4 linked regions of the Notamacropus eugenii genome follow. The protein of the gene in region 1 purifies or fractionates together with the protein of each later gene. This does not show direct contact. Links are inferred from orthologs where the notes say so. Each region holds a gene or a part of one and is shown in the gene's direction. Other genes may lie near its edges.

Region 1 (8,195 bases):
CTTCTTAAAGGCAGGATCAGTCTTCCTTTTTGTTTGTACTCTTACGCCCAGAGTTTAGCAAGTGCCTGGGCATGGAGCAATACTTAATTGCCTTGCCTTGACCAACCCTATAACACGAAAGCACATGACCCATTTTTATTTGTACCTTCTCAGTTTCTGGGGTCTTTATAGGGCTATTCCTCATGGCCTTCCAACATTTATTCATTCATTCATTAAATATTTATTAAGCATTTGTCTAATGAAGAGCACTGTCCTTGGTTGGCTGGTTGTTCTTCGTTCTCAAAGAGGACCAAAAGGACATCACTATGTTAGAGTCAAGTTACAATGCATCCCACTGTGGTGGATCAGACCAGTACAAGCTCAGAATGTTCTACCACAGGTTGGACATAAATAGTCTGTGTGAACATTTGGGGTGGATTCTCTGAATATGCACATCCTGCATTTCTTTTGACCTATTTCAATTCTGCTTTGCTCATAGAGCACCTATAGTACCTTCTCTGATGTGGGCACACCATGCTGAGCAGTCCTGTGCCATTGTCTCCCATGTCACAAATCAATTCCAAAGTTCTTGAGACCATGGGAATGTCCTTGTATCACTTCTTCTGACTTCTGAGTTCTCCATAAATTAAGTCTTTTTGGCAAGGGAATGTTTTGCATTTGAACAACTTGACCAGTCCACTGGAGTTGTGATTTCAGAGTTCTAGGTCCTCAAGAAATGACCAGGCCCTGCCTTCATATGCCGATTACAGTCCTATGAGGAAACATGACACGTATACAGATACAAGATAAGTGAAAGTTAAGTGTTGAATAGCCAGTGAGGGTTGGAGGAGAGGAGAGGGGAGGCAGTGGAAGGAATCAGCTAGGTTTTAAAAGAATTTACTATAGACATTTCTCTGTTCTAGAAATCTCCTGACTCTGCACTACAGCCCTCCCTCCCTTTCAGGTGCTATCACCTCACATAACAATAGGTTACATGTTACATAAGGGATCATCCCAAAAGCCTTCTTAAAGCTGCACTAAGACTTTTGGGACACTGTATATGTGCACATGCTAATCCAAGTTATGAAGCATTTTAACATTCATGGCTCACATACACTTCAATATATATCATTCATATATACACTTGATCAGTCAATCAATGAGCATTTATTAAGCACCCAATATGTAAAAAACACTGCTAATTGAGGGGAACAATACAAAAGTGAGACAGTTGTTGCCCTCAGAGAGTTTATACATTCTATGAAGGGACAGAGCCTGTATGAGGGAGTGATCATGGAAGTGAATTTAAGCCCAGGCCGTCATGCAGAGAACCATGTGGCAGTAGATTCTCATATTTTTTTTTTTGCAACATTGGTAATAATAATTTGATTACTGTTTCCTGAGCAAAAGATGAAAAACTGCTGTTTGTTGGTTTGTGTGTGAGGATGAGAATGGGGGGGTGGTTGGATTCACACACAGAGGCAGGCCAGATAACTTGATGCTGATGCTCACTAGGTCCTAGTGTGCTAGGAAAGGGCTGGATGGAACGAAACACAGCTTGACATTTCTGGGGCAACTCCTCCCAGAGCCAGTCCCCAAATGTATCGCGTTAAATACTCTGGGGTGGGGAAGGGGTCCAGGTCATGATGGAGAGTGGTAGGCGGAGGTACAGAACATGGCAAAATAGACAGACTGGCTGGGCCTTGGTGTCCTGGTTGGATGGTCGGCACCAAGACATGATCCAATCAATAAAGCAACAATTATTAAATACTTACTATGTGCCAGGAACTGTAATAAGCGTTGAGGAAACAAAAAGAGGCAAAAGCCAGCCCCTGCCCTGAAGGACTTACAATCTAAAGGGGCAGACAACATGCGAACAAATCAATACAAAGCAAATTATGTACAGGATAAACAGGAAATTATTAAAAGAGGAAAAGCACTGGAATTAAGAGAGGCTGGGAAATGCTTTGTGTAGAAGATGGGATTTCAATAGGGGCTTGTTCTTGTTCATCCTTTATTTTCCAAGAGGACCAATGACATCACAAGGTGGTGTCTTCACTTGACTCTGAATTGGGCTTAAGGGAGACAGGGTTGCCTCATTCTCTACCAGAATCGTTGAAGTCCAGTTGGGACTTAAAGGAAGCCAGGGAGGTCAGTAGTTGGAGTAAAGGAGGGAAAGACATCTGCTGATACCATTTTTCTCTCTATCAGAGGAGCTGTAGAATTTAGGATCCAATTGGACTGGGGATCCAGCATGATCTGGTACTCAGGAATATAGGTGTTTTCTTAGTATCAATAGACTGGTTGCTAGCCAGGCCTTCTGACTACTTTGGGACTTAGCTAGTCCATTCTGCATCAAGGTAAGTGAACTCCACTTTTTTTGTACTACTTTTCTCTCACAGTACTCTAACCATATAGGCTTATTCCCATTTTACAGATGAATAAACTGAGGTTAGAGAAGCTAAATGATGGCCCCCATTTAACAAGCGGCAGAATGGGGACTTGAACCTGCCATTCCTAAGTCTAAGTCTAGTATTCTTTCCATTACAGTCTCATAAGGGCTTCCACAATGAAAATAATAATAGTTAACTTTTATACAGTGTTTACTATGTGACAAGACACTGAACTAAGTACTTTACAATTATCATCCCATTTAGTCCTCACAGTAATCCCGGGAGGTAGATGCCATTATTATCCTCATTTTATATTTGAGGAAACTGAGTCAGACAGAAGTTACCTGACTTGCCCAGGGTCAAACAGCTACTAACTGTTTAAGGCTGGATTTGAACTCCGGTCTTCCTGACTCCAGGACTTGCACTCTATCCTCTGCAACATCTAGCTACCTCAAATCTGAAGAAGTCTCTAAAACAGTTGATAATCTGTTTAATTTCATTCGATTCATGAATTAATCTCATTTGAACTTCAGTAAGGGCCAATAAGGGCCAGAGCCTGAACTAATCAGAAGAAGCACCTCCACCCAACAAATATTTCCTTCTCTGAGTAAACTCAGAGAATACCTCTTCTGATGTCAACAAGACCAGATGGGGCTGACTTAAGAACATTTTTTTTTTTCTATTTATGGCCAGTAAGGATGAGACCCTTAACCCAAGACACTCTCTTAAATAATGGGACTTTTCTATATCTTAATGTTTTATGGACATATACTATGTTATAGCATGTAAATGGTAAAGAAAACACAGATATCCTGGATCATAATTTCAATTGAAACTTTGTCAACTCTCTTATTTTATTGCATTTACCATGTATTCAATTAAGAAAATTCCTTTCTCATAATATGGTTAAACATATATGGAGATCATAAATTTGAGTGACATAGGCACTCTGAGTTGGGATTGTTCTAAAATATATTTAAAGCTGGTCATTCTTTTTCAGACAGTCAGAATTCACATTTTGGCTCCTTGTACATACAAGTTCACTATCTTTGGCTAGCTTTAAAGGAATAAACGATATGAATTTACATATCACCTGGCCTGTTTGCCTCCTTTAACCAAACTTTCAGGTCGACACAGGAATAGTTTCTATATAGCATGTGAAGGTTTCCAAAGCACTTTCCTCATAAATGGTCCTGTGAGTTTGATGGTACAAGTATTGTTAGCCTTATTTTACAGATGGAGGACTTTTACCTTACTTTAACAAGTGTGGAGGTTTAAATTTCTGTAAAAAAAAGCGGAGTTCACTTATCCTGCTCCAGAATGGGACTCCAAAGTAGTATGGTGATTTCTTAGATTTAGCTCCTTCCTCTGCCACATACGAATACAGTCTGACTAGCTAATCACAACCCTATTGCGCCCTAGTCAGTTCTCCAAAATTGTCAATTGCAGAACCATTGCTACTTGTATCAGGAGAGGGAATTTTCTCACAGGGAAACATCTTAACCAATGAAATTACAGGTCTGACATCTTCCCTCTCCCTACCCCCCAAACAAGAGTGCTTCATCTTCAAAACCTCATTTTCTTCCTCTTTCTAGTCTGAAGAAGAAAACTTGCTTCCCTGAATTGTACTGAGGGTCAAATCAGATAAAGGACGTGACCGCAGCCTTGCACAAACGGGAGGTGTTATCATCCTCATCGGCTCAGCTATTTTCAGTCTCTATTGTCACGTCTACCAAATATCTCAGGCACGCCAGCCTTGGGCAAAATGGTGAAACAGGCAATGTTTGTCCTTGCTGTTGTCTCTCCAATCCCACCTTACCTTAAAGGAAAATGGATGTCAAAGGCTTCCAGGCTGAAACCTTAATTAGTAACAGAAGACGTGTGGGTCAGCACTCTCCATCAAGTCCCACCTATAAAAGGTTGCCAAATCCCTCAGGTGTGGCCAGTATTCTGCCAGGTGAAGCCCGGCCGGACTTCTGTGTTTTAGTTTTGCCCCTGCTTACCCAAGCCACACGTGCACCAAGTTACTGCCCTCATTCTGACTAGATCTAGGGCTTGCTCCATAATGCTGAGTCAGGCTCCCTTTTTCTTTTCTATTCTCCTCTCCTGATAAAATAAGAACTGGCCTTTCCGTAGCATGCCTTACTTTTTCTAAACGCAGTGACGTCTTTTCTCATTTTATCCTCACCCTTTGAGGTAGGTAGGGCCGATATTGTTTCCTGGTTACAGACGTGGAAACTGAGGCACGGCCGCCTTTGGCAGGAAAAGAGCCCCACGGCCTGACTCAGCATTATGTTGCACCCCGGTCTTTCATCCCGCATCCCCACATTCGCATCGAACCCAAGATGCTTGCTCGCTCGCGGGTTGGTGGCCTGGGAGGTGGCAGTACACGACCAAGACCACCCCTCTCCTAACCCTCATTCTCATGCTTTCCCAGCCTTTTTTTCCCCTCCCCCCCAGATAAGGAGCAGGTGGTAGGGCCCGCGCCGAGCGCGCAGGCGCAAGACGCGGAGGCGGGGCGTGCGCGGCATCGATTTCGGGCTACGGCGGGAGCAGGAGTAGCCGCCAGTCGCCCGTGGAGTGCGCAGGCGCTTGGCGGTTACCGGTCTCGCTATGGAGCGGAAAGGTGAGCTGCGGAGCGGCCTCCGACTGCCGGGGCCACGCGGGGAGCGGGGTGGGGGGAGGGCAACGGCCGCCTCGCTGGCCCAGGGTGGGGCGAGGGCAGGTCGGAGACCCCGAGCTCTCATCGGACCCCCGAAGGCCCTGTCTCGGGGCGTGCACACCCACCCCCCACCTCTCCCGGGTTCCTTGAGCTGGCGGCACCCCCTCATCCCCCCACGCCGGCCTCCCAATCCGCTCGGCGGGGTCCGGTCCCCCTCCCCCGCTCTCTACCCTCAGCCCGGCCCCGGGTCCCTGCCCTCCCCAGTCCCGTGCCCTGCATCTCCCACATGCACCAACCCGGCCTAAGACCCTTCCTCCAGCCGGGGGCCCCCTCGTGTTCCCCGTGGGCTCCGCTTCTGGCTGTGGGGGGCCGCGGCCACTCTACTGCCGGTGCGGTGCCCTCACCTGGCCGCCCTTCCCCACCCGAGACCGCGCTCCACGTCACCTGGGTCCCCACCCTTGCACCGCGCTCCCCTTTCACGAACTCCTCTCTCCCGCAGTGCTTGCGCTCCAGGCCCGAAAGAAGCGGACCAAGGCCAAGAAGGACAAAGCCCAAAGGAAGTGAGTCCTGTAAACACTCTGCCCCTCCCCGCTTCTTTCTCTCTCGCCAGCGACCTGAAATGCCGTGCGCCTGCGGCCGGGCGGCAGGCTGCCGCACATGGCCTAGCTCCGGGGCCGGGCTGCGGGCTGCCTTCTTAGGGAGCGCCGGCGGCTGTGGGAGCCAGGCTGGGGCAGACGGGATCTCTTCCCTAACTTTGACCTCCCGCCGGGAACTGGTCCTTAGTCATTCATTTCTCGGGCACCGAAATCTCTGCGAACCTGCGTGGGTCGGGCTGCTTCCCAGCGGGCCTGCCCTGGCCAGCTAGTCTTCCCCATCATTTTGCGCAGTGCCTTGGTGGAGTAGGCGGCCCCTGCGATATTTTTAGGGTGAATTGCAAGCGGGAAGATGGGATTCATCCCTTTTTGCAGGGTCTACAAAGTTGTAGAGGATGGGAAATTAACCTTTTGGAGCACCCTTCGGTGCTGGGTACATATTTTGTAAGCATCTTGAGGGCAGGGACCATCTTTGGCTTTAATGGGGCCCCTCCCCTCACCCTTTTTGTGGCTTATCTTGCAGTTTGTAGTAGAAATTAAGTATTTGTTTAGATTTTTTTTTAACTTATTCCTCAAATACAAACAAGAACAAATCACTCTAAATAGGTCAGTTATGGAAGAGGATCAAATAGGAAAGTTATTAATGACAAATTTGTGATACCGCTTTAGATGATAATTCCCCCCACACACACACTGGAATAGATAATCCTAGTTTAAATTTGACATGGGAAACCTAGAATAGAAGGGCTGCTTCTGGTATAGTGCCTACAGAAGAGGCTTATTAATGAATTGCTTTGTACTAATACTTCAACGTGAAGATCCATAAAAATCAGGTTTTAAACAATGTGTATTCAGAAAATTAGCTCTTTATCATGGTGTAGATAAATTCTTCAATATTAATTGTAGGCCTTATTATTTTCTACGTTTATCATCTTGTTTTCATTTGGGTTTTTGTTGTTTCTTTTCATTAGTAGTTTTGGGGTTTGAGGTTTTTTGTTTTGTTTTGTTTTTTGTAGACTCTGGTTTTTAGATGATGTGCTGAGAACGTATTCGAAAACTTGTCTCATTGCCTTCTTTAATAACAGGAGCACAAAGATGCCTTCAGAAGCCCCCTCCCTCCCCCCCATTTTTTTCTTTTTGGAAGCAAGCAGCAACTTCCACTTTTTAATTTGGTGTAGCTGGGTCATAATGATAGTAATCTTAATCTCTTTGTTTTGCTTGGCTTTAAGTACTCAACTTAAGGAGTATTTTCATTTTCCTTTGTGAAGTGCTTTAACTTATTAACACATTGTATACATGCATTTAAATTTGATCCACAAATGAATTATCAGAAACTATTTTTTTAATCAAATTGAATAGAATAAGGTTGCTGGCACTAGCTGCTGCAGTATGAGTAGGCAAAGCATTTAACCATTCCATGTGTTAGTTTTCCAAAATCTAAATGGGGATGATAATAGCCATCATAGATACTAACGAGTTATGAGGTAAAGAGAATATGATACCTATGAATTAATCAATTCACCAAGCATTTATTAAGTGCTTACTATTTGCCAGGACTCTGTGCTGGAGATACCAAGGAAAAATAAAACCAGCCTCAGCCGTCGAGGAGCTTATGTTATTTTTGCAAGTTAGAAGACATGTAGTAGTTATAACATTCTGGTATTGTTATTCCCCTTTCTACCCAGACCATATGTGTACACCCGAGCTTCAATATTTATTTGAATTCATTTATTTTTTGCTTACTCTTTAAATACATTCAAGTCCAAATAACTTCATACAGGTCAGTTCTGGGCTTGAACTTCTCTCTCAGTTGATATATGGTCCTGAGTTACAGACTAATTTTAATATCAGCCTGAAAGAAATGTAATTTAATATATATTCCACATGCTAATATGTATTATCTTGGTATTGTCTTCTTATATAGTTATCTCATTGTTGTATATTGGTATAGGCAAACTCTAGGGTTAATTCTACATAGATAGCAATTATTTGCTTTTGATACAGGACCGTAAATTCCTTCAAGTCAGAGGCCCTGTCTTACCTTTGTAGCTTCTCGAAGCCTACATAGTGCCCTAATAAAAGAGTATACAGTAGTCAGTTAAGTTGAATCTATGGGGGAAAAAGTAGTATAGTTAATCCAGTAATTATTTTGGTACTTTGTTTTATAAAAAGGTGTGTATAAGTGCCATCACTTACTGATTTAATTTAGTGTCAGAAAATTTTGAAAATTTTCATTTGTAATTTCTCTTTACTTGCTAGATATTCCTATCAGTTAAGCTTTACGTTTTTGTTTCCTCAGTTTTTCTAAGTAGTGATATTGGTATTTGGTCTGCATTCTTGGCTCCCTCCAGCTCTATTCTACAGGCTACATGTATGCAAAGGTTTGGTAGGATCAGGGGAAAAGAAAATAAATGGATATGTGAATATCTGACAACTCAAAGCTTCACTCTTCTGCCTCTTGTTCACCATCTCCCCATATCATTTTTTAAAAAAACATTTAAAGGAATCCTTTGGAGATCAGTTTTGTAAAACTAAAAACTCTTGATAGTATAGACAATAATTGTGTGT
Region 2 (7,567 bases), about 230 Mb from region 1:
CTTTAAATGTAATCGTTTAGCTCCTTCAGAGTAGGGATGGTTTTTTGCCTTTCTCTGTATTCTCAGTGCTTAACAAATATTAAGTGCTATATAGATGCTTGCTGATTGCAATTTATTAGCATTATCTTCTAAAAATTGTTTTTAATCAACTTTATCTCTCAACATATTACTTCTATCTCCCTCTCTCAGAGAGCTATCCCTTGTAACAAAGAATAAAGAGGGAGAAAAAACAGTTCAGTAAAACTAGCACAACAACCAAGTGTGACATAGAGCGTTTCATACCCTTAACCCTCCATCTTAGCAAAGAAGAGGGAAGTGCATTCCTATTTCTCCTTTGGATTCAAATTCTCAGAATTTGTTTTCAATTTATGTTGCTGGGTTTTTTTCTTTTACATACTTGTAATCATTATGTACATAGCTTTTATGGTTCTGTTAATTCACTTTGCATCAGTTCATATCAAGTTTTCCCATGCTTTGGTTTTCTTCATATTCATCTTTTCTGATTACATTTATATGCATTTATTTAGCCAACATTCCTTTTATTTTTAAGAGGACAGGCTGAAATGGCACATCCTCTAGTTATATTTTTAATAAGATAAAAAGCATTTAGTGAATTTTTATCAGAGGGAGACATTCTACTTGAATTTATAGGTCCCTACCTGCATGAAGATGCTACTTTGTTCAGGAGAAATTTGTTGGGCTAGAGCCTGGCTGATTGACTGCTGTACTTGAAATAAAGAAGACCTGGGTGCAAGTCCTGCTTCTGACACTTACTAACTGTGTGACAATGGAAAAAATCGTTTAACCTCTCTGAGCCTCAGTGTCTTCATCTGTAAAATGGGGATAACAACACTTGTAGTACTTATCTCAAAGGGATGTGATGTGAATCAAATGAATTAATGTATGAAAAACACTATGTAAATATTTACCATATAAATACTATTTGGATATGAAAGATAAGATTTCATATAGTTACTTCTTCATACACACTTAAGAGTTCACACTTTTTGCTAATCAGGTAGGCAAAAACATGCAAGGAAACTAAAGGGGAGGGACTTTCTTAAGCGCTATTGAAACTGTTAAGAGCTTAACTGTATTGGCAATGCAATTCACAAAATGAACTTAAAAGCCTATGAAAAATATAGCCTTTATGTGTAAAGACCATTTAAACTTTTTTTTATCTCAGTACTGGCAGTAGTACAAAACAACATGAGGAGAAGTAATGGTGAAAGTTTTGGTTTTGAGAGAATTCACTTATTTATTCATAATTAAAATGAATAAGGCTCCATTTAGTACCACTCATATGGGTGGTATAGCAGATTTTTTTGTTTTAAATAACATTAGATAATGGTTATTATTTTACACATCCAGAGCAAGAATTTGAAGCCTAGAAGAACTCCTGGGAATAAAAATGAGGAGTAAAAAAAGCTGAACACTCAATAAAACAGAAATTGCATAGTTTTCATTTCCTATCAGAATACACAATTGTAAGTAACTCCAGGGTGTCTCTGCTTTCCAGGGTGGGGAGAACAATTTAGCTGCTCAGCATCCCATACTGTGTATTGTAATTACACTCTCAATTGAGTTCCCTTTAATTTCTGGCCCCAATTTCCTCATCTGAAAGATGAAGATGCCAGTCTTAACTGTGACTAATAGAACTGTGACATTAAAACTATGTCATACTAACTCAGCTTATTTCATATAACTTCTCACTGTTGGAAAACCAGATGGATTGTACCTACTTTTTGCTCCTGGACACACCATGAACTTTCCCACCTTCTTGGATTGGTTCACACAATCTCATAAGCCTAGAATTCCCTCCTTCCCTCTTCTCTAATTGAATTTCTACAACTGAATGCCACTTCTATGAAGTGTTCTTATTTCCCTCCCCTAAACCACCACCATTTGACCATTTATTCTGCACCTCCTAAATGAACTTATATAGTAAAATACATTATAGTTATCTGTCTTAGTGTCTTAGTGACTTGTTTGCAAGTATGTAAGATCCAACTGAGCAGGAAGTGTGTTTTCAACTTTCTATCTCTGATTCTTAACAAGGAGCAAAGCACCAGATGCTTAATGTCTGAATATAAACAAAATGAAGGAAAATAAATGAACAAATTAATTTACTAGTCCCATTCCCTCATTCTTATCAATAAGGAAACAAGACCAGAGAAGTTAAGTGATTTGATGAGAAAATAGTGGCTGGAAGGCTTGGGAGAGCGTATGTTTTTGTAAAAGTATTACCTATGGACTCAGAAGAGACACAGGTTCCAATTCACCTCTGTCATGTTTTCCTGTGTCTGATCATGAGGAAATAGTCATTTCTATTCTTCAAGTCTCAGTCTGTTCATCTGTATAATCATGGCCACAATACTTGGATTATTATCATAGGATTGTTGTGAGGATCAAATGAGAATATATGTAAAACACTCTGCAACTACATCAATGCCAAGTGCCTGGTACTGAGCGGGAAACTGATAAATATTTGCTACTTCAAGGCTTAATTACAAAGGGGCATTAAATTACAGATCTCTTGACTGTAAATCCAGTGTTCTTACCCTTTCAGCATCTGCTCAATTAAATGACGCATAGAGTCCAAAGAAACAAAATAATTTCCTCAGGAAAAATATAATTGTTTGAATTCAGTTTGAGATGGTTCACGTTACTAACCTGTTATATGGGACAAGCTGACCTGCAAGTAATCCAAGGCCAGTGAATCAATAATTGCTTGTACATTGTGTGCATGATCTTCTTGGTTCTTAGGGACAGTTATGAGGTCTGTGAAGGAAAGGGAAATAACATTGTTTTATAACTGCAAAATACCAAATTCAGAAGATGTTGACTAATCCAGGTCATCAGGGGGTCTAGTGTAGGGGTGTGGCAGCAGAAATGGTGGAGAGGAAGAGGACCACAGAATCTCTAATCAATGATGATTCATTGTACATGGGCAGTAAGTTATGTTAAAGATGACTGAGGAAACAGTGGGAAAAGCACACTAATACTGACATAAAGAATTCAAATTCTGAAAGACAATTAGACTTCAAAAGGCAAAAAAACCCAACAAACTCAGTTCCCTCAAGTAAATATGCTTTTTTTTCTCCTAAATTAAAATGAAATTTAAACCTTTAAATGCTGACTGGATCTTATACAATCTCAGTGCCATTTTAATGTATCTATTCAGCAGAGCTGCAATTAAGCAGTTATTAAATCCTGACAAAATGACTTAAAACATCATTGTTTAGTCGTGTCCGATTCTTCATGACCACACAGACTATAGCATGCCAGGCCCTTCTATGCTCCACCATTTCTTGAAGTCTGTTTATGTTTATTGTTTCTGTGACATTATCTATCCTTTTCATCTTCTGACTTCCCTTTTCCTTTTGCCTTCAATCTTTCCCAAAATCACGGTTTTTTCCAAAGAGTCCTGTCTTCTCATTATGTGACCAAAGTATTTAAGCTTCAGAATACCATACATGGATTTAGAATTGGAAAAGTTGTGTTTGTCATCAGGGCATTACAGCACGGATGTAACATTTCAATTCAAATAGGTAGAATTCTTTTTTGTAATTGCAAAAAGACTAAACTGCAGTGAAAGTCCTGGGAGACAAAATATAGGAAATAAACTGACCCCATGTCTTAGTATTCTTACCTGGTACTACTTCTCCCAAGATAGAATGATAAAGAGTAATAAACACATTTGCATCACACTCAGAAAGAGACTGTATCCTCAGCCAAATATGACACTTCAAAAGAAGGTTATTGGCAACTGATACCCACTCTGGAAAAAAAAAGATGTAAAAAAATGTTATCGAGTTGGAAAAAAGCAAATCTAAAAAAATCAAGTATGGAGTTCTGTTTACTTAAGTAGATAAGGAATCAAAAAAAAGCTGTCTTTAAACTAAAAATATTTACAAGTGTAGGGAAAAGTCATACTCTAAATATTATTCTGAAAATAACAGCTCTGACTATAAATTCCTAAAAGACTTAGGTTTAGTTTTGTTAGTATTTTAAGTAAATTATAAATTTATCCACTTTTGAGATACTGTTTTTACTAACAGAATAGAAATAATCAAAAGTAATCAGTACTACATTTTTAAGATTGTGTATGGGAGCCCAAATGTTACTTCATCACAACTTTAAACTGCAGCTCATGATGTGAAAATAATGGAACACCAGGAACTTTGAAATGGTGAGCTTTTGAATGTCAAAATAATTTTCATCCTTCTAAGATGAACATAAGCTATGATTCCATTAGTTTCTCCGCAACCACCACCTTCTCCATGAAGCTGCTGCTGGTGTCCTGGAGTCAAACACTGCCTTGCATTGATACATAGTTACGTGCATGTTGTTTCCCTCCACAAGCTTCGGGAGGGGAGGGGTTATTTCACCTTTGTCAGTTTCCTCAGCGTTTAGCTCGCAGGAGGTGCTTAAGATTGATCTGATTCTGGTAAAACTGATAACCATCATAGGAAACCAATTCCCTGTCATTCTGGCACTGGAGACCTATCCAGCAGTACTCACTCTCCACGGTCAAGCTTCCCAAGCTACTACAATAATGGACTGCGGTGCCCAAAGCAGCTGTCTGCTCCTGGACAGCAGCAACTCAACCAAGGCACAAAGCTGGCCATTCTACAAGACAGACCTCGAGTGCCGGGGTTTTTTTTTTTCCTTTTCACTGAACTTTTTCAGTCTGTCCTGTCTGTATCTCCTTTGTACCCAGCGGCTGGGTTTGCCTTTCTTTGTACCCTCAGGGTTCGGGGGTACTTCCCGGCGCACCGAAGGCTCTAAAACAACGCTTGCTGACTTAATTTGACAACCCTCAACGTGAATATTTCACACCATAAACACATTACTAGGTAAAGCTTTAAGTGAAAAACCGAGCTGGTTGTTCTGCTGCCAGACCCAAGCAATACGTAGATAACAGGAATTAGAAAAGGAAGACCAGGGACCTAACTTGGAGTTTTCACCAACAGCTTTCCGGTCGGAAAATGTATTTTGTTCAGGTTCCTTCAACACAAAAACCACGACTTCCTACAATCAGCGCAAATCTACCTTCTCAAAAAGAACAAACGCGTGAGAGGAGCTGCCGAGTGGTGCTCAGACCTGCGGAGCAGCGTTTCGGGTGAGATAACCAAGCTCTCCCTCCTCGCCTGCCCTACGGAGCCCGGCGTGTGCTCCCCAGACCTAGGCCCGCTGGGGTGCCTCCCTCTCAGCTGGCAGGTCCGCCTCGGGAGGGAAAGGGGAACCCCAACAGGGGACACATCACATAAAACCACCCTCGGAACACGCCTCCCAGGGAGCCCGGGGTTCCCCAGAGCGAGTTCTGGAGCTCAGCTGGGGGTGAGAGGCATGGGCTCAAAGCGCTTTCAGGCTAGGTAAAAACGCTTCACACCCGCCAGCCGGCAAGCCGGCGAAGGGGAGGAGCGGCGGCCCCGCGCATTCGCAGCGTGCACACTTCCTCTTCCCCCGCCACCCATGGGTGTCGGCTTCAGCTGGGAGACTCACCAGCCTCCTCCCGGGCCTCCATGTCCGCGAGAGCTGTACACCGGCGGGGCTCGCGGGGAACGGTGTCCTGGAGGGACCGTTAAGGGAAAGGAGTGTGGCGGGGCAGGACGACGCGGGGCGGGGGGGGGGAGGGCGAGGAGAACCGTAAGGTAACTGGGGGAGGCGAGGGAGGGACGTTAAAACGGCTTCTCGCTGCTGATTGGCCATCTGGGTGCACTTCCTGTCGCTGCACGCGGCCAGGCAGCGGTTTAGGGGCTACTACTACAACTCCCCGCGGGATTATTCCCGCTTCAGGCTTTTCAGGCCGCTCCGTCGGTTAGACAGACCGGTGGCCGACCTAGTATAACCATTCAACCTAGGGAGGTAGCCGGCCGGGTGCCGGGGCCTGCCGCCCAGCTCTACATTTTTCGTATACCTCCGCCTAAGTGAGTGGATAAATAGTGCAGTGGCCGGCCCAGTGGGCTGCGGGTTACGCTCACGTGATCGGAGGAACCTCCGCCTCCTCCTTTTCCCTGACCGCGTACTGTGGTCCTTGAGAGTCGCAAACGTCTAGTCTGGGGTGGTGACGTTAATGTTTTACGGCCTGCCTTAGCGTAGGAAAACCTAAGAGTGAGGTTGACTATTCCTGAATTGGTGAAATGTAAGGGCGTTCCCTGAGAGAAGGGGCGAAGCAAAGGGAAACATCCGCGGGTGGGCCGCTAAGAGTTAATAACGAGCTAAGGTGGGGGAGGGGTGCTGGGCTCGCCACCAGAGGCTAGAACATGGCGGCGCTCGGAACGCCTGCGGGTGTTGTTACCTTAGCGTCTTCCCCCTCCCCCTCCCAGAAGGGGGTGGGGCGATGAGGTCATAGAGCGGTTCCCATCGCGCTTTGCGGCGGAGGAGGCGGTCCAGGTATAAAACCGGCTGCCGGGAGCCCTCTGGCTCCTCATTCATTTCCACCGGCTTGGGTTCCTCTTGTTTTAGCTGCAGCCTCCGTCTCAGTCCCCGCCCCCGCACGGCCTCGCGACCGCCGAAGCCACCTTTCCCCCCTCCCCTGCGATTTCCCGCTTCTCCTCGGTTGCTTCCCTCCAACCGCAACCATTGACGCCATGTCTGGATACTCGAGCGACAGAGACCGCGGCCGGGATCGAGGGTGAGTACGGACATTTGTCAGTCGCGGCTGAGAAGGGGTGGGGTGGGGGTGGGGTCGAGAGGAAGTGGGCTGGAGCCCTGTCGGCGACAGGAGGCCTCGGGCGCCGGCGGTCCGCGTCTAGTGGCCCTGTCCCTCAGTGCTGAAGGGATGTAAGGGTCTGTTGTGATGCCGCTTATTTTCATGTCTGGGCTGTGATTTGGGGGGACAGGCCCCAGGTGGGGAGACGAGGTAAAGGCGACGTCAAGCGGGGGTGAGTGCGGCGGGATGGTCTGCGGCATTTGGGGAGCCCCAGAAAAGTCCCCTAATCAGCCTGGCTTGGGGGGGTTCCGAAGCCGTTCGGGCGCGGGGGCGGCCGGTCTCTGCCCCGTCGGGGAGCTGGCGAGACAAAATGCCGGCCCCGGACATGGCGGCGGCGCCTTTGTTACCCCGCCCGGCGGAGGAGCTCAAAATGGCAGCTTTGAGAAAATGTGGCGCAGAGTGAAATGCTAGACAAAGGGGGAAGCGCCGCCCAAGCGGGAACGCGGCCCGGCGGACTCCGCCCGGGGCCGCGACTCCTCCCCTGGTACCCGGGCGGCCCCTCCCTCCCTCCTCGGCCTTATGTAACCGCGGTTACCTTCATCTTGAGCCCACCCACCGGGGTGCATAATGAGGCTCCCGGGGGACCTCCCCTTGTTTGGTGGCGAGCTGTCAGAACTCGGGCCCTTCTGTTATCTGCCTTCCGCTCGGAAACGTTCGGCTCTAGGGAACAGCTTGGTGTAAAGAAATGGGATTGTTGATCTTTTATCTCCCCTTTTGAAGCCTGGGTCCTTTCCCCACCCTTCTAGTTAGTGCCTTCACTCATGGAAAAGATGATTGCTTACCCCCCCGGGCTGTTCTGTAACAGGGATTTGGTCAGAATCTGTCCCCCATAGTCCGGTTCTTATTACC
Region 3 (7,675 bases), on another chromosome or scaffold:
GCGTGTGCGGGGAGGCTGCCGCGGGGGAGGAGGGATGCCCGGCCCGGCCCGCGGCCCCCCCCACGCCCCAGCCCACCCGGGGCCGCTCTTTCCTCCAGTGCCCCTGAGGCGCCGGGACCTCGAGTCCGGCCGAGGCTGCGTCATGAACGAGAGGAACGGCCGGAGGCGGACAAGTGAGCAGCCCCGCCCCTCCCCTCGGGCCCCCGGCCCAGCCCCCCGCCCTCGGGAGCCCCGCGGGGGAGGGGGGCGCCCGGGCGGCCGCGGCCTCGGAGTAAGGGAGCTCTCTCCCCGCCCCCCCTTCCCTTCCAGTGAAGAAGGACGAGGAGGGCTTTGAGATCTCCGTCCCGTTCAACGAGGCCCCCCCTGCGGAGTCACCCCCCATCTTCTGCGGCCTGGAGGGTGAGCCTGCGGGCCGGGGGCGGGGCCGGGGGGGCGGGGGGCGCGGCCTCGCTCACGGCTCGCCCCTCCCCTCAGAGCCCCCGGAGCCCGCGTCGCCCACCCTGGCGCTGATGAGCAGCGTGAAGACCCAGCTGCACATGGCCCTGGAGAGGAACTCTTGGCTGCAGAAGAGGATCGAGGATCTGGAGGAGGAGCGGGACTTCCTGCGCTGTCAGCTGGACAAGTTCATCTCCTGCGCCCGCATGGACGCAGGTAGGGCCGGGCCCAGGTGGGGGGGCCCGCAGGTGGGGGCTGGGCGGGGGGGGGGCCCCACAGGCCCACCTGCCGTGCCCTCCCGTGCCCTCCTTGTCCTCTCTCCCATCTCCAGAGGACCACTGTCGGGGCAAGCCTGGCCCCCGGAGGGCAGAGGGCTCTGGGGAGGCCTCAGACCCCGAGTCAGCAGCCTCCTCCCTCAGCGCTGGCTCCGAAGAGGGGGGTTCTGCTGAAAGGAAGCGCCAGAAACAGAAGGGGGCGGCTGGCCGAAGGAGATTCGGGAAGCCCAAGGCCCGGGAGAGGCAGAGGGGTGAGTGTCAGGTACCCCCGGGTGTGGGGGGGTTGCTAGGGATACGGACAGAGGAAGGATGCTGGACTAGCAGATTGGGTGCATGTGTCCGTCCTCTGTGAGATCCTTAGCACCTGGCTGCCCAGCCCTCAGCCTCCTGTCTTTTCTGACTCCTAGGCAACTAGTTGGCACAGGGAATAGTGTGGGACCTAGAGTTAGGAAGACCTGAGTTCAGATACAGCCTCAGAAGTGTATGATCTTGGTCAAGTCACTTTATCTCTGTTTGCTTCAGTTTCCTCAACTGTAAAATGGGAATAACAGGGTTGTGAAGCTGAAAAAAGATACCCCCTAGGGGGCAGGACCCTGGCATGTGGCCAACCTGGTACCTGTGCCCTCAGAGACCCTCCCCTGTGAATTGTGAGGGATCCCAGAATAGGGCAGTCTGCTCTGCTCCCCACACAGGCAGCCAGGTTTGCATTGGCAAGGGGGCTGCCAAGTCCGTGGGATTCTCCTGAACCTCCTCGTGCTCCCAGGCTCTGCTTAGCCATAAGCCTTAGAGGCTCCATATTTGGGAGTCAGGATGCTTGGGTTCAGTTCTGATGCCATCCCTGATTCATATCAGAGGCTAGAGACTAGGGTTCAAATCCCACCTCAGATACTTAGGAATGAGAGGATCAGCTCTCTCATCTGTCAAATTGGGACAAAAATGCCTCAGAACTTTGTAGCTTCTCATGCCAGGCAGGAGAGGCAGGACAGGGTGGTGAAGAGTGCCATGCCATCCTCTCAAAGGCCCAGGGAAGAGAGCAGTAAGCAAGCAATTTGCACCAGGGGAGGGAGGTGTTCTGTACGGGACATCACAGTTCTGGTTGTTTAGGCCACTCCCACCTTCCCATTTCCAGGGGGACAACACTGAAGGCCAGGCAGTAGCCCTGGGATCTGAAGCCAAGCCATTCCCCTGGGGTGTCACCAAGCAGGGGTGGGTGGTTGGACTCGGTCCCCATGTCTCTGGGGCTCTCACTGGCTCAGCCTTTCCCTGGCCCACAGTGAAGGATGCTGATGGGGTGCTGTGCCGCTACAAGAAGATCCTGGGCACCTTTCAGAAGCTCAAGAGCATGTCCAGGGCCTTTGAGCACCACCGGGTGGACCGGAACACGGTGGCCTTGACCACGCCTATTGCTGAGCTGCTCATCGTGGCGCCGGAGAAGCTGGCCGAGGTGGGCGAGTTTGATCCGTCCAAAGAGCGGCTGCTGGAATACTCCCGCCGCTGCTTCCTGGCACTGGACGACGAGACACTGAAGAAAGTACAGGCTCTCAAGAAAAGCAAGCTGCTGCTGCCCATCACGTACCGCTTCAAGCGGTGATCCCCACGCCTGTCCTGCCCCAGCTTCTCCCCAAGCCAGCTGCTGTCACCGCCTTCTCTCCCTCCCACCCTGCATCAGTCTTGTGTTCTCGGGCCTGGATGGCCGAGCCAGCTGGAGCCATCGCCTACCCCAGCATGGATCCCCCTAGACTGGCTGTCTGCTGTCTTCTCTTCGGATGCTGGCTGCTTCAAGTGGCCCCTCCTATGTCCGACTACTCGACTCTCCTCTGCTTCTTCCAGGAGCAGCTCTTTCCAAGCGACAATCCTGTTCCCTGGGCTCTTGAGGGGGCCTCCAGAGGTAGTGGTTGGCTTGCATCCTGTGCTCTAATGGGCCTCCTGGCTACCTTTTCTCGCCAGGGGACCCCTTATGTCCCACAATGGTTCTCCTATTGATGTCTGAGCCAAGTGATGTGTCATTTACAACTAGTCCCCCTTAACGGCGACCCTCCAGGAGCCCCACAAAGGCTCAGCTCTTGGGTGGGATCCTGCCCTTGCCCTTTTCCTAGCCTTCCGCAGCACCCCTGCAGCCGGTGGGTGCATGCACGTGAGTGATGTGTTTACATGTGGTTCCAGGTGGAGGTGGGTGGGCTCCCTGTCTCATCTGCTGCTACCCTCTCATGGAGTTTGTGTGGAGACAGGAAGGCAGTGTATGTATGTATATATTTACCGAACATCTCCCCCTTCTGCCTTCCGTGGTGTCAGCATCTGTTTCCCACCCCCATTGCCCTGGCCTGGCTTCCTTTATTCCTTGCCCCAAACCTAGAGACTTGGGAGTCTCTGCAGACTGTCCAAGTGGCCGGGCATCACTGCCTCTGGAGAGAGGTCAGAGGAGCCCTTGAAAGAACCTGGCTTCTCGCTCCACTCTGGGTGTGACTCCCTTCCCTCCCCTTCTCCAGGCCTGTTTCCTTCTCTGTAAAATAAGGGAGTTCAGTGCGATCCTATCCAAGGTGGCTGTGAGGCCCTGGGTAAGTCTGGGTCTCTTCCTTCTCGTGAACGCGGAGCAGATGGGACGAGGAGCCCCCACGAGGTCGCAGTCTGTGACGATGGGGCCTGGACTCTGCGGAGGCTGACCGATCCTTCCCTCCCCGGCGGCCGCTGGGCAACGGAGCCTGGGAGCGCCCCCTCCCTTGAGTACCAGCCGCCGGCCCTGGACCAACAGATAAATGAAGTATTCAGAGTTAAAATTAAAAGTTAACCAGCAGATTTGGAATAACCTTGGCCTCGGTTCTGGCTGTGGGGGAGAGGGGGTGGCGAAGTGGACCGAGCCGAGAGACGGCCGGGAGCTCCCTTCCGGGGCGCTTGCCCGTCCCGAGGCTATGGCGCAGGCGCGACTCTGCTTAGGCTGCCGTTTCTAAGGCGACCGCCAAGGGAAGGAGAACGCGCTAACAGTCTTACGGGTACGGGGCCAGTCGGCTTTGGAGGGCTCAAGTGCGCGTGCGTGCTGGCCAGAGAGGGCGGAGACGAGCAAGGGGTAGCCTCGATCCTCTTTTCCCATTGGTTGGCCCCGCTTTGCACTTGCGCAGTAGCCCGGCTCCCCGTCCATTCGCTCCGGCGCAGCCGTAGCTTAGGTTCGGGTCGGCCTCGCGGGGCGGCCCGCACAGGCGCACAAAAGCCCCGCCCCCAGCTAGGCTCCACGGCGGCGCGGCGTTCCGCGGCCTACCAGTCGGCGCCCTCGGTTCCTCTCGCGAGCCGCGCCCCAAGCCGGAAGAAGTCGAAACGCAGGGAGCCGGGAGGCGGGAGTCGGAGGTGCGCCTCCGGAAAAAGCCGAAGTCGGGCCCGAGTGCCTCCGGAAAGAACCGAAAGCCGGAAGGGGCCGTGCGTTCGCCGGGGCCAGCAGGGGAACACGACGGCTCCGGCCGCGTTCGACCTCTAGGGCAAACTCGAGGCCACCCCGACAGGGTCTGTGCGGCCTCGCGGGCCGGGACAGGAGGGGGTGCCTCCCGACCAGAACTCGGGAGCCGCTGAGGCAGAGACCGCGCGGTCTGTTGGGGCCGGGTGAAGCGGGGCGGGGGCCGGAAACAGCCGAAGCGTTCCGGAAAAAGCCGAAGGGACTCAGGCCCCTCCTCGAGCGAGTAGGAGGCGGGGCCGGGGGCGGAGCCTGCGCGGGGGCCGGAAGCGGGCGAGGCGGGCGCCGGAAGTGGGCGAGGCGGCGCCGAGGGCAGGCGAGGCAGGCCAGGCCGGGCCAGGCGGGGGGGACGGGACGGGGGAGAAGGCGCGAGCGCGGGCTGCGGCCGGCCGCCCCTCAGCATGTCCGACTTTGACGAGTTCGAGCGGCAGCTCAACGAGAACAAGCAAGGTGAGTCCCAGCCTCGGCCGGCCTACCGGCCTCCGGCGCTCCCTTCCTTCCCTCGCTCCGGTCCCTTCTCCCCTCAGCCCGCGCGGCTGCCTCCCCCTCCCCCTCTCGGTCCGGCGCTACACGTGACCCGCGCGCGCCTCCCGCCGCGCCATGTGACCGCGCATCGCACGTGACCGCCTCGCGCGCGCCCGCCTCGGGCCCACGCGGCTCGGGGGGCCTTGACCGAGACCGGAGACTTTGGTCAGTGCCGGGACCAGCTAGGGTGGCCCCCCCCCAACCCCGACCGGTCCCCCTCCCGCTCCCTCCTCGCTCCGTGCTGCCCACTTCCGCTTCCGGTGGCGGCCCGTTCCTCCTCCACGCCCCCTTTGTTCCCAAAATGGCCGCGGCGGGGGCTTTCCCCCCCACGTGGAGGAGTTGGACGTGGACTGGTCCGGGATCGACCCCCGTGACTCCCGCCGGCCCAGAGCCCTCGCTGGCGTTCCGTCTCCCTTTCCCACCCCTGCACCTCCTTTTCCACTCTCGGGGCAGGGGGCGCTTCGAGACCTCTTGGGGCTTCCGGCCGGCCAAGGTCCCTGGTCACCGACCTTGCGGCTCCCCGGGGCCTCGGCGGGGGCCGGGCCAAGTGTCCTTCCCTGCTACTGGAGGGGGGCATCCCGAGCTTGGAAGGCCCTGTGGGCCCCCGGGGAACGCGTGGGAAGGGTCAAATTCATTATCCGACTTTGTCCCGACCCCTTCCCCGAGGGCCCCGTCGGGGCCTGGGACCATTTACGGTCTGGCCCTCAGCCCCTAAACACGTGGACTTGGCAGCCTGTGTGAGTGAGGAGCGGCGGCTGCCCGTGCCCGCCTTCCCCTTCTTGTGCCGAGCTTTGTTTTGGTTCCGACCGGCCCTTTCTTGACCCTCAGGGGCTCCTTTCTCCTGTTGGTCTTCTTCTTCAGGGCGTTCTCTGTTTCCGGCAATCAGAAGGGGTTTATCCTTGCCCTCTTCATCTGAGGCCTTCACCCAGTATCCCTCACCTCAGGCTGTCTCTAGAGGGCCTTTTCCTTCTTCCTCCAGATGTCCCTGAAATGGTCCCCATGTTTACCCTCTCCCTGAAGCAGGTTAAAGTCAGGGTCTCTCCTTCCAAAACTTCACTTCTAGTGGAACACCTTTGCCCTTCTCCGCTGCACGTACTCTTTCTAAATGAACTCCTTCTCAAGTTTGAACAAGTCCAAAGTTCTTTCAGTCGCAGAGATGAGAAAACTAGGGCCTAAGGAACCAAAGGGATTTGTCCAAAGTAGTCCAAGGGGCAGTCATGGGGCAGAATGGGGAAATGGAACCAAATATTCTGATCCAAGTCTCCCCAACAGACTCCTTAAGAAAATCCTCCTGTTGAGCAGGGTGTGGAAGTATCCCAAACTTCTCTGTAGTTTTGGAACCCTACTGACCCAGTTCTCTGAGACTGGAATCTGGAAAGGATAGGACCGCTTCCTCCCCTTTTTTTTCTGCCCCAATTCACAGGTTTCTTCTGCTGGACCTCACATCTCCTTTGCTGCCACAACTTAGTGGTTCTGTTTCTTTGCCCCCAACATTACCTGCTTCTAGCAAATCAAGGCATACTCCTCCAATCATGTTTTAGAGAGGGGAAAATCTGCTGTCTAGAGAATCCAAGGTTATACAGCAAATCCAGGTTGGAGCTGGAACCTCAGTTCACTTGCCCCATTCAGAAGGAAATCTATTTACAAGGAGGAAAGGTCCAGGTTGGAGCCCTGGTTCTGCTGCTAACTAACTGTGTGACCTTGGGCAAGTGAGAATTTCTTTCTGAGCTTTACTTCTCTTCCTTTTCATAAGGGAGATGGACTAGATGATATCTGGTGTCCTTTTCAAGTTTGACAGGAACCTTCTACACACGTCAGATTCATCCTCCTGGAAGAGAGAGGTAGATAAGGACTTTGCCAAGGTCACCCAACTAAGTGGGCCCAAGCTTGAACCCAGGGCTCCTGTCTTTCAGCCTATTATCCTTAGTGATCTGGAATCAGTGTCAGAACCAGAAATGGTGCTTAACCATTGTGGCACCCTGATTTCAGAGGATGTGAATCCTAGCCCTTTGGGGCCTGGGGTTGTTTGCAGTAGTTGTCTTACCTCAGATCAGTTCAGTGATCTCCTCTCCCTAGTTGAGCTTGTGAAGCCAGGGTTCCCGCCTCCATGACTGAGCTCTCCATCTTTCTGGTGTACTGGGTTAGAGGTGGATGTATACCAGTGAATCCCCTCCAGAGAAGGGATGAGAATTAGAAGAACCTGGGTAAGAAATAATGATGTCTAGCCATCCATAAGGGCATAAGACTGAGTTTTGGATCCTTGTTTCTCCAGGCACAGGGGGAGGTGGGACTGGGCCCAGTTGGGATCCTGGATTCCTGAAGAGAAGAATTAGTTTGATTTGACAGTGGGCAGTCATCTCCTTGGGAAGAGGTAGACCCTACACTTTTGGATCTTGGTGGGATCTTTGAATGCTTCAGTAAGCATCTATGGGTGACTGTCTCCATGGCCCCCTCCTCACTTTAAACACAGAAGCATGTTTTGAACAGCTATAAGATGATTGAGAGCCTGAAGATGGAGTAGGGAATGAGAAAGGGTGCATATGATGGGGGGAATCTGCCATCTGCCCCACTGGCCAGGCTCTTACCAGCAGCCACAAATGTATCTTGGCACTATGAGCTCTTTCCTTGCCTGGTGAGAGCTCTTGCTCCGTGTATGCTTCTGGCCACATTTCTGCTTCCAGTTTCCTTCCCTGCCATGGACCATGTGGTACTTGGGTAGGGGAGGTACAGGGAGGATAGGAGTCCCCTGCCCTTGTGTATCTCCAGTGTGTTTTTGCTTCCGATCTCTTCCAGAATGGGGAAATGGGCCTAAGGTGCAAGGAGACCCTGCTCTGAAAGTTGGGCAGCCTGGGTTTCTGCATTGAGTTTTCTCTGAGTGTATCATTTTCCATAAGTCCCTCTCTTTTCCATTTGACAGAGATGTGTTTTACACTTGAATGCCCCTGGGACCCATCCTGTTTCTGACAGTCTTTTTCATCAGTTTTCTGAGGAATAGGTAGCATGG
Region 4 (7,191 bases), about 260 Mb from region 1:
GATGTGGGAAAAGGAGAAGAGGAGAGTTTTCTTGTAATTCATTGTGCTCTGCTATTTGATTAAATGTCTTTTCTTTGGACTAAAGGGTCTTCTCATTCAAATAAAAGGAACATCAGTGGGAGAACACAAGGAGAACCTGGTACTCAAGAGAGTGGACAGGAATGGAAGCTGTTTTCTTGATGAATCCAAGTTTCTATTAGAGCAAAAAGATGGAATTCAAGTCACTTGACCAGATAAACTATATCCTTGAGTCCTGGAAGAACTGTCCAGTATGATTGCTGAGCCACTATCATCGATAGCTGAAAGGTCATAGGAAATGACAGAAGTTGGAAAAGGAATATGTTGTCTTGATTTTCAAAAGAGGGCAAGAGAACAGAGTCTATACCCTATACAGAATCTATAAGTCAAGGAGTTTGACTTTGATTCCTGGAGACATTCTAGAACCAATCATTTAAAAAATGGTTGAAAAACATCTAGAAAAGGAAAACAAATGGTGATAGTGAAGTGGATAGAGCACTGGGCCTGGAGTTGGGAAGGTCTCAAACATTTACAAGCTGTTACCCTGGGTAAGTCACTTGGCCACTGTCTGCCTCCACTTCTCAACTGTAAAATGAGGGTGATAATAGCAATATCACAGGGTTATTGTGAAGATCACATGGCATATGCATGAAGCTCTTAGCACAATGCCTTGCATATAGTAGAGCAGTTAATAAAGGCTTATTCCCTTTCCCTTATAAAGAGCCAACGTGGCTTCCTCTAGAACAGGTTATGCCAAACTAACCTCATTTCCTTTTTTGACAGGATTACTAAAACAAGAGGGCAGTTAGGTGGTGCAGTGGATAGAGCACCAGTGCAGGAGTCAGGAGGACCTGAGTTCAAATCTTACCTCAGACACTTGACACTCACTAGCTGTGTGACCTTGGGAAAGTCACTTAACCCCAACTGCCTCATCCTGGGCCATCTCCAGTCATTCTGATGAATGGTCACTGAATTCAGATGGCTCTGGAGGAGAAGTGAGGCTGGTGACCCGCACAGATCTCTCTCACTCAAAAACAACAAAGTCAAATACAAGTCGTATCATCATTTCTCTACACACACTAAAATAAGAGATGAGAGGAATGCTGTGAATATAGTTTACCTTGATTTTAGCAAAGCTTTTGATCAAGTGTCCTCATACTATCCATGTGGCTATAGTGAAGAAATATGGATTAATGACAATACAATCAGATCTGTCCAGAACTGGTCAGATGATCCAACTCAAAAAGTAATTGCCAATGGTTCCATATGGATATGGCAAAGGTACTCCTTTGTATCTGGGCTTGGTGTTGTGTCATTGAACATTTTTGATGGTGCAATTCATTAAATTGGAAGAAGGCACAAAGCCAAGAAATATAGTTAATACACTGGGTGGCAGAAACAGAATTCCAAAGAAAAAACTCCATAGTGATAAATGTAAAGTCTCACATTGTACCATAAATCAATTTCACAAGTGGAAAATGGGGGAGGTATGTTTATTAAGAAAGTCGTTCTTTAAAAAAAAAAAAAAGTTCTGGACAATGAGTTCAATATGAGGTTATAGCGAAATATGGAAGACTTCTAAAAAGTTAAACTAATCTCAGGTTTCATTGACAGGGACAGAGCTTCCAGGAAAATAGGAAAGTGATAGTCCCACTGCACTCTACTCTTGTCAGACTTCATCTTGTTCTTTGTGACCCCATTTGGGATTTTCTTGGCAAAGATACTGGAGTGGGTTGCTTTTCCAGCTCATTTTATAAAGCAAGAAACTGATGCAAACAGAATTAAATGACTTGCCAGGATCACACAGCTAGTAAGTGTCTGAGATCAGATTTGAACTCAGAAAGATGAGTCTTCCCGTCTCTGGACCCAGTGCTCTATTTGTTGCACCTTCTAGCTACCCTTTGTCAGACTTCATCTAGAATACTATGTTCAGTTCTGGACACTATAATTTAAGAAGGACCTTGATAGGTTAGAAAATATCCAATGGAGGGAAGTCAGGATGGTGAAGGGCCTTCAGTATTTGTCATATGAAGACCAGTTAATGGAATTAGGAACGTTTAGCCTGGAGAAGAGAAGACTCAGTGGGGCATGATAAAAGTCTTCAGGTATTTGAAGGAGTTGTCATATAGAGAATCTAGTCTAGTTCTGTTGGGCCCCAGAGAGCAAGCAATGGAAGCTGTAAAGATTTAGCCTGTGATATCAGGGAAAACTTTGAGCAATTAGCATTGTCCAAAAAGGGAGTGCACTGCTTCCGGAAATGAAGGGTTCCTCCTGCTTGGAGATCTTCAAGCAAGAAATGCGATGAACAATTAATTATCTGAGGTGTTATGGTGGGGGATTCCTTTTGTGTATATGTTGAACTATATAGAGACCGAGGTACCTTTCAACTCTCAAGCTCTGTGATCCTATAAATATTATCTCGTCTAACTTCCGAGTCATTGCTCTGTTCTGTCTTCATTTCCCTACCTATTTGCCTGCTTCTTCTCGGTCTCCTTTACTCCTACACACACGGATACAAGCACAAGCACAAGATTTTTCCTCAAGACCTCTTCTCTTCTCTATATTCATTCAATCAGTGATCTCATTGGTTCTCATAGCTTGAGGTATCACCTCTATGCAGATGATTCTTCAATCAGCTGTAATCTCCTCTCCTGAATTCCAGTCCTTCTTAGCTCACTGTCTGTTGGACATCCCAAACCCATTATTACCAAAATAAAATTCATTATATTCCCATTCCTCTTCCAAACATCCCCATTTCTTTTGTAGGCATCACCATCCTTCCTATGACCCAGATTTTCAAAGTCAAAGTCATCCTTGATTCTTCCCCTCACCCCCCCCATATCCAATCAGTTGCTAAGTCTTGTTGATTTTACTCCTATAACATGTCCAGAATTAGTACCTCTTCTCTCCACTTTATTCAAACTCTCATCACCTCTCCTACCCTCTAGCAATAGCTTCCTAATTGTTCTCCCATCTTCCAGTCTTTTTCCCTCTCCAGCTCATTCTCCACACAAGTACAAATTAGCATTTCTAAAGTGCAAGTCTGACCAGGTGACTGCCCAAACATCTTCAGTGATGTTCTATCATCTCTAAGAAAAATACAAACTCCTTAGATTGGCATTTATAGTCCCTCAAAATCTGACTGCCACCTACATTATTTTACATATTCCTTTTTCAAGTACTCAACATTTCAGCCAAACTGAATGTATTGATTAGCCCTGAGTCATGTTGTCTTGAAAAGTCTCCCCTCCAAAAAACCAAAGCACTGTAAGACTACTCTATCTTCTCTGGAAGAAGCATCAGCAGATGACAGTTCCAGCAGATGTCAGTAGTAGCTTCGAAGAGAAAATGAACATTAGTTTGGGAAGAAGAGGAAAGGAGAGGCATTCCAAAAGAGATGCAACCTTTCTTCTCCTAGGAATATGCTTTTTCCAGAGGATATTCCCTTTCCTGCTGGCATGGAAGGCTAGCAGGGAGGAGTCGTGCTGACATGCTGAGAATGGTTCTACCACTTAATTTTCCCTTATTTACTTTTTATTTTATCATAACTAAATACTGTACCATCTAATTTATTTTTTGTGCCTGGTCTGTGGGTTGGATGGTTGTCATATTTGCAAAAGTGTCACCCAAAATACCCCATACTGAATCTGGGATAGTAAAGGGGTCAAAAATGTTTGGGACCTGTGGTATTCAGTAAATACTTAAGGAATAAAAGTGAATGAATGAATGATGAAATTGACTAGCCCACTTACAGGAAATCTTATCCACATGACACCTTAGCATAATTAATGTCATTAATTACACAAAGGAAATGGAATTAACTAGTCCCAAACTGTTGTACCACACTTTCTTTAAACTGGAATAGAGTTATGATGTGATCTTTCCCTGCCCCCACCCCAACTACCACTTTATGACATCAGAGAAGATACAGCCTCATAAGTGACATGCCATAGTTCCTTTCTCACATTCATCTCAAAGGAAGAGATGGTTTATAACTGCGGTGATTGGAAGAAGAGAAATCCTAATAAGGCTAAGGCAAGTGAATATGTTAGTCACTTATTTTTTAAAGATTCTTTTTTGAGGGTCTGATTGTTAGGAAGTAGTAAATCAAGAAAGGTAGAAGGACAAGGAAGAGTAATAGCAGCTTTACTCACACCCTTGCCGCTCCTTTCTTCTTGTTCCAATCAGATCTTCAATCAGATCAAATGTCACTTAAGGACTCGTAGTGGTAGTCACATCTCCCCAACTAGGTTGTGAACTCTATAAGAACCGAGAATTCTGCCGTATCTCTGCAGGAACTTCTTAGGTGCTTAATTATTTATTTATTGAATCTGCTTTAATAGAAGGGAGAGGTAGCAGGTTTGATTTTTTTAAATTTGGCTTTAAAATAATTCTATCATGCCTTTCCCTCCCCAGCACATGATGAAGAGGGAACATTGGGAGACTAATTTCCTTCAGTTTTACTCAATCCTAAGCAAAAAATTAGCATGGGAGAGGAGGGATACCACCTGAAAGCAAGGATGGTCTAAAGTTGAGCTGCTGTTGAAAAACACTAGGGAAGTTCGGAGAGTTGTGTTTGAAATCAACCCATTTTCTCATCTGTAAGAATGGTCTTAAATATCCAAAACTTCTTAACAGCCCAGGTCTCTTGGCTTTCCAGGTTTCACTATATCACATTGCCTTTTTGATTGCACATTTGATTGTGCAACATGGGAGACACTGGCACAGGACCTCTCAGTATGGCATGCCCACATCAGAAAAGGTGCTGTGTTCTATGAGCAAAGCAGAATTGAAACATCACAAAGTAAATGCAGGATGCGCAAATTTGGAGTAACCACCTCAAATGTTCACAAAGACTATCTGTGCCCAATCTGTGGTAGAGCTCGTATTGGTCTGATCAGACACAGCCAAACATGTTGAAACTTGACTTTATCATGGTGATGTCATTTTGGTCCTCTTCGAAAACAAAGGACAACAACCAACCAACTAACCATATCACATTGCCTGATACAGGGAGGGATGATAATAAAGGGTGAGCAAAGTGCTCATGGATCTTATAAAACCACCAGAATGAGTGTAGTGCAATCCTCTGTCAAATATTTCCCCTGACAAAAAATAAGGGTGAATAAACAGAAAGGCATTTGTTAAGATGGCAAATAAAGAATTTATTAAGCACTTCTATGCCAGGAACTGTGTTAAGCACTGAGAATACAAAGGGAAAAAAACAGTCCCCACTCTTTGCCCTCTTGGGGGGAAAAATGCAAGCATCTATGTGCAGATAAGACATATAAGGGACAGTGAACAAAGGAAAAGTATTTGAATTAAAAGGGATTAGAAAAGGCTTCCTATAAAGATGGGCTTTTTGCTGGGACTTGAAGGAAGCCAGGAAAGTCAGAAGGCAGAGAGGAGAAAGAAAAACTTTCTGAATAAAGGGGACAGGCAGTGAAAATGTCCAGAGTTAGGAGATGGAGAGATTTTCATTCAAGGAACAACAAGAAGATGAGTATGGTCGGATCAGAGCATAAGGTGTAAGAAGATTGAAAAGATAAACGGAGATAAATTGGGTTATGAAGAGCTTTGAATCACACATTTTATATTTGATCCTGGAGGTGATAGGAGACTAGAGGGGGATTGTTGGAGGGTGACATGATCAGACTTGAAATCACTTTGACATATAATTGACAGCTGAGAGATTTGTGGCAGGGACATTGATCAGTCCAAATCTGAGGTGATAAGGACCTGTTTCCAAGGTAGTGACAGTGTCAGAGGACAGAAGGAGGCACATGCTAGAGATGTCACAAATATAAAACTGATGGGTCTTGGCAAAGATTAGATGAGGGGGGAGGGAATGAAATAGAGTATTGGAGTTGGGAGGACTTGAGTTCAAATTTGACCTCAGATACTAACTCTGTAACCCTGGGCAAGTCACCTAACCCCAACTACCTCAAAAAAAGATGGTGAGAAGTTAAGATACCTGGAAAGTTAAGAAGCCTGGAAAACTAGGAAGATGGTAGTATCCTCAACAGTTTCAGGGAAATTAGGAATAGGGAAGGATTTGAGTTAAGATAATGAGTTCACTTTTGGACATGTTGAGTTTAAGATGTCTACTGGATATATGAGAGCAATGCCTATCCTCAAGGATCTTACATTCTAACGGGAAAAAAAACACCACACAAAAGGGAACTGAAAATTTGGGGAGGGAGAAAGGTGAAGAGAGAAGGTACCAGGAAGGTACATGGCCAGAGGTGGAAAAGTTGAGTAAGGGGTAGAGCTCATTGAGACTTGAGTGGTAATTGGCCCTGGGAAATTCCTCAAATGGAGGTTCTAGGAAGATACTCACTGAGGAGAAGAGGAAGCCTCTATTAATCCCTTACTATGTGCCAAGCATTGTACCTAGGCTGGGGAAATAGGAAAAAATAGAAAACTTGAGACAATCCCTGCCTTCAATTACACTCTAATTGTAGGAAACAGCACCAAAGAAAGCTTTCCCACCCCCACCCCAATCCCTCAGTGAGTATATTTTTCTAAGCATTGCTTTCGTAGGTCTCTCAAGACCTGTGAGCTCAGCCTGGGCTTTTACAACAGAATCAGTCAAGCAACCATTATTTATTAAGTACCAGCACGAACCAGTGTACCGTGCTTATGCTGAGAAAATGAAGACAAAAAAACTGCCCTCAGGAAGTGCACATTCTGATGGGAAAAGAGAGCATATAAATAGATATATGCAAGATCTATACAGTTAGATGAAAGGCAATTTCCGAGGGGAAAAAGCAGCTAAAAGGACCTTGAAAGATCTTCTGCAGAAAGTGTCTTCAAAGAAACCAGAGAAAGTAAGAGAGTAGAGCTAAAAAGACAGAGATGGGAGATGGAGCATTTGTTTGAGGAATACAAGTGCACCAATGCCCGCTCTAGGTGGTACAGTGGATATGATGCCATCCTTGGAGTGGTTCAAGGCACTTCCTAGCAATGTGACCCTGGGCAAGTCACTTAACCCTGTTTGTCTTTGTTTCCTCATCTGTCAAATGAGCTGGAGAAGGAAATGGCAAACTACTTCAGTATCTTTGCCAAGAAAACCCCAAATGGGTTGAATGAAGAGTCAGACACAACTGAAACCACTCAACAACTACTACTATGTGCCAAACACTGTATTAAGCATTTTACAAATTTTATCCC

The links.
Region 2: the proteins of SRPK1 (region 1) and DDX5 purify together in Homo sapiens (affinity purification with mass spectrometry; 3 studies listed by BioGRID and IntAct, with this or other methods). This does not show direct contact. The link is inferred for Notamacropus eugenii from reciprocal best matches to the Homo sapiens genes SRPK1 and DDX5.
Region 3: the proteins of SRPK1 (region 1) and U2AF2 purify together in Homo sapiens (affinity purification with mass spectrometry; 3 studies listed by BioGRID and IntAct, counting the BioPlex papers as one, with this or other methods). This does not show direct contact. The link is inferred for Notamacropus eugenii from reciprocal best matches to the Homo sapiens genes SRPK1 and U2AF2.
Region 4: the proteins of SRPK1 (region 1) and TOP2A fractionate together in Homo sapiens (co-fractionation; 3 studies listed by BioGRID and IntAct, with this or other methods). This does not show direct contact. The link is inferred for Notamacropus eugenii from reciprocal best matches to the Homo sapiens genes SRPK1 and TOP2A.

The regions. Positions count from the first base shown.
Region 1 is NC_092873.1:92,960,030-92,968,224, reverse strand, and holds the start of SRPK1 (SRSF protein kinase 1), read left to right. Parts: upstream 1-4,890; 5' UTR 4,891-4,985; coding exon 4,986-4,998; intron 4,999-5,533; coding exon 5,534-5,594; intron 5,595-8,195. UniProt on the Homo sapiens protein: Serine/arginine-rich protein-specific kinase which specifically phosphorylates its substrates at serine residues located in regions rich in arginine/serine dipeptides, known as RS domains and is involved in the phosphorylation of SR splicing factors and the regulation of splicing.
Region 2 is NC_092873.1:327,525,171-327,532,737, reverse strand, and holds the start of DDX5 (probable ATP-dependent RNA helicase DDX5), read left to right. Parts: upstream 1-4,433; 5' UTR 4,434-5,125; intron 5,126-5,508; coding exon of another isoform or gene 5,509-5,530; exon of another isoform or gene 5,531-5,641; intron 5,642-5,843; exon of another isoform or gene 5,844-5,933; intron 5,934-5,987; exon of another isoform or gene 5,988-6,148; intron 6,149-6,471; 5' UTR 6,472-6,596; coding exon 6,597-6,640; intron 6,641-7,567. Other genes in the region: CEP95 (centrosomal protein of 95 kDa), read right to left, coding at 2,674-2,781, 3,653-3,781, 5,509-5,530. UniProt on the Homo sapiens protein: Involved in the alternative regulation of pre-mRNA splicing; its RNA helicase activity is necessary for increasing tau exon 10 inclusion and occurs in a RBM4-dependent manner. Binds to the tau pre-mRNA in the stem-loop region downstream of exon 10.
Region 3 is NC_092876.1:18,155,130-18,162,804, forward strand, and holds the start of U2AF2 (splicing factor U2AF 65 kDa subunit), read left to right. Parts: upstream 1-4,416; 5' UTR 4,417-4,547; coding exon 4,548-4,596; intron 4,597-7,675. Other genes in the region: CCDC106 (coiled-coil domain-containing protein 106), read left to right, coding at 99-173, 310-399, 475-651, 767-961, 1,985-2,301. UniProt on the Homo sapiens protein: Plays a role in pre-mRNA splicing and 3'-end processing. By recruiting PRPF19 and the PRP19C/Prp19 complex/NTC/Nineteen complex to the RNA polymerase II C-terminal domain (CTD), and thereby pre-mRNA, may couple transcription to splicing.
Region 4 is NC_092873.1:355,954,652-355,961,842, reverse strand, and holds the start of TOP2A (DNA topoisomerase 2-alpha), read left to right. Parts: upstream 1-3,997; 5' UTR 3,998-4,002; coding exon 4,003-4,053; intron 4,054-7,191. UniProt on the Homo sapiens protein: Key decatenating enzyme that alters DNA topology by binding to two double-stranded DNA molecules, generating a double-stranded break in one of the strands, passing the intact strand through the broken strand, and religating the broken strand.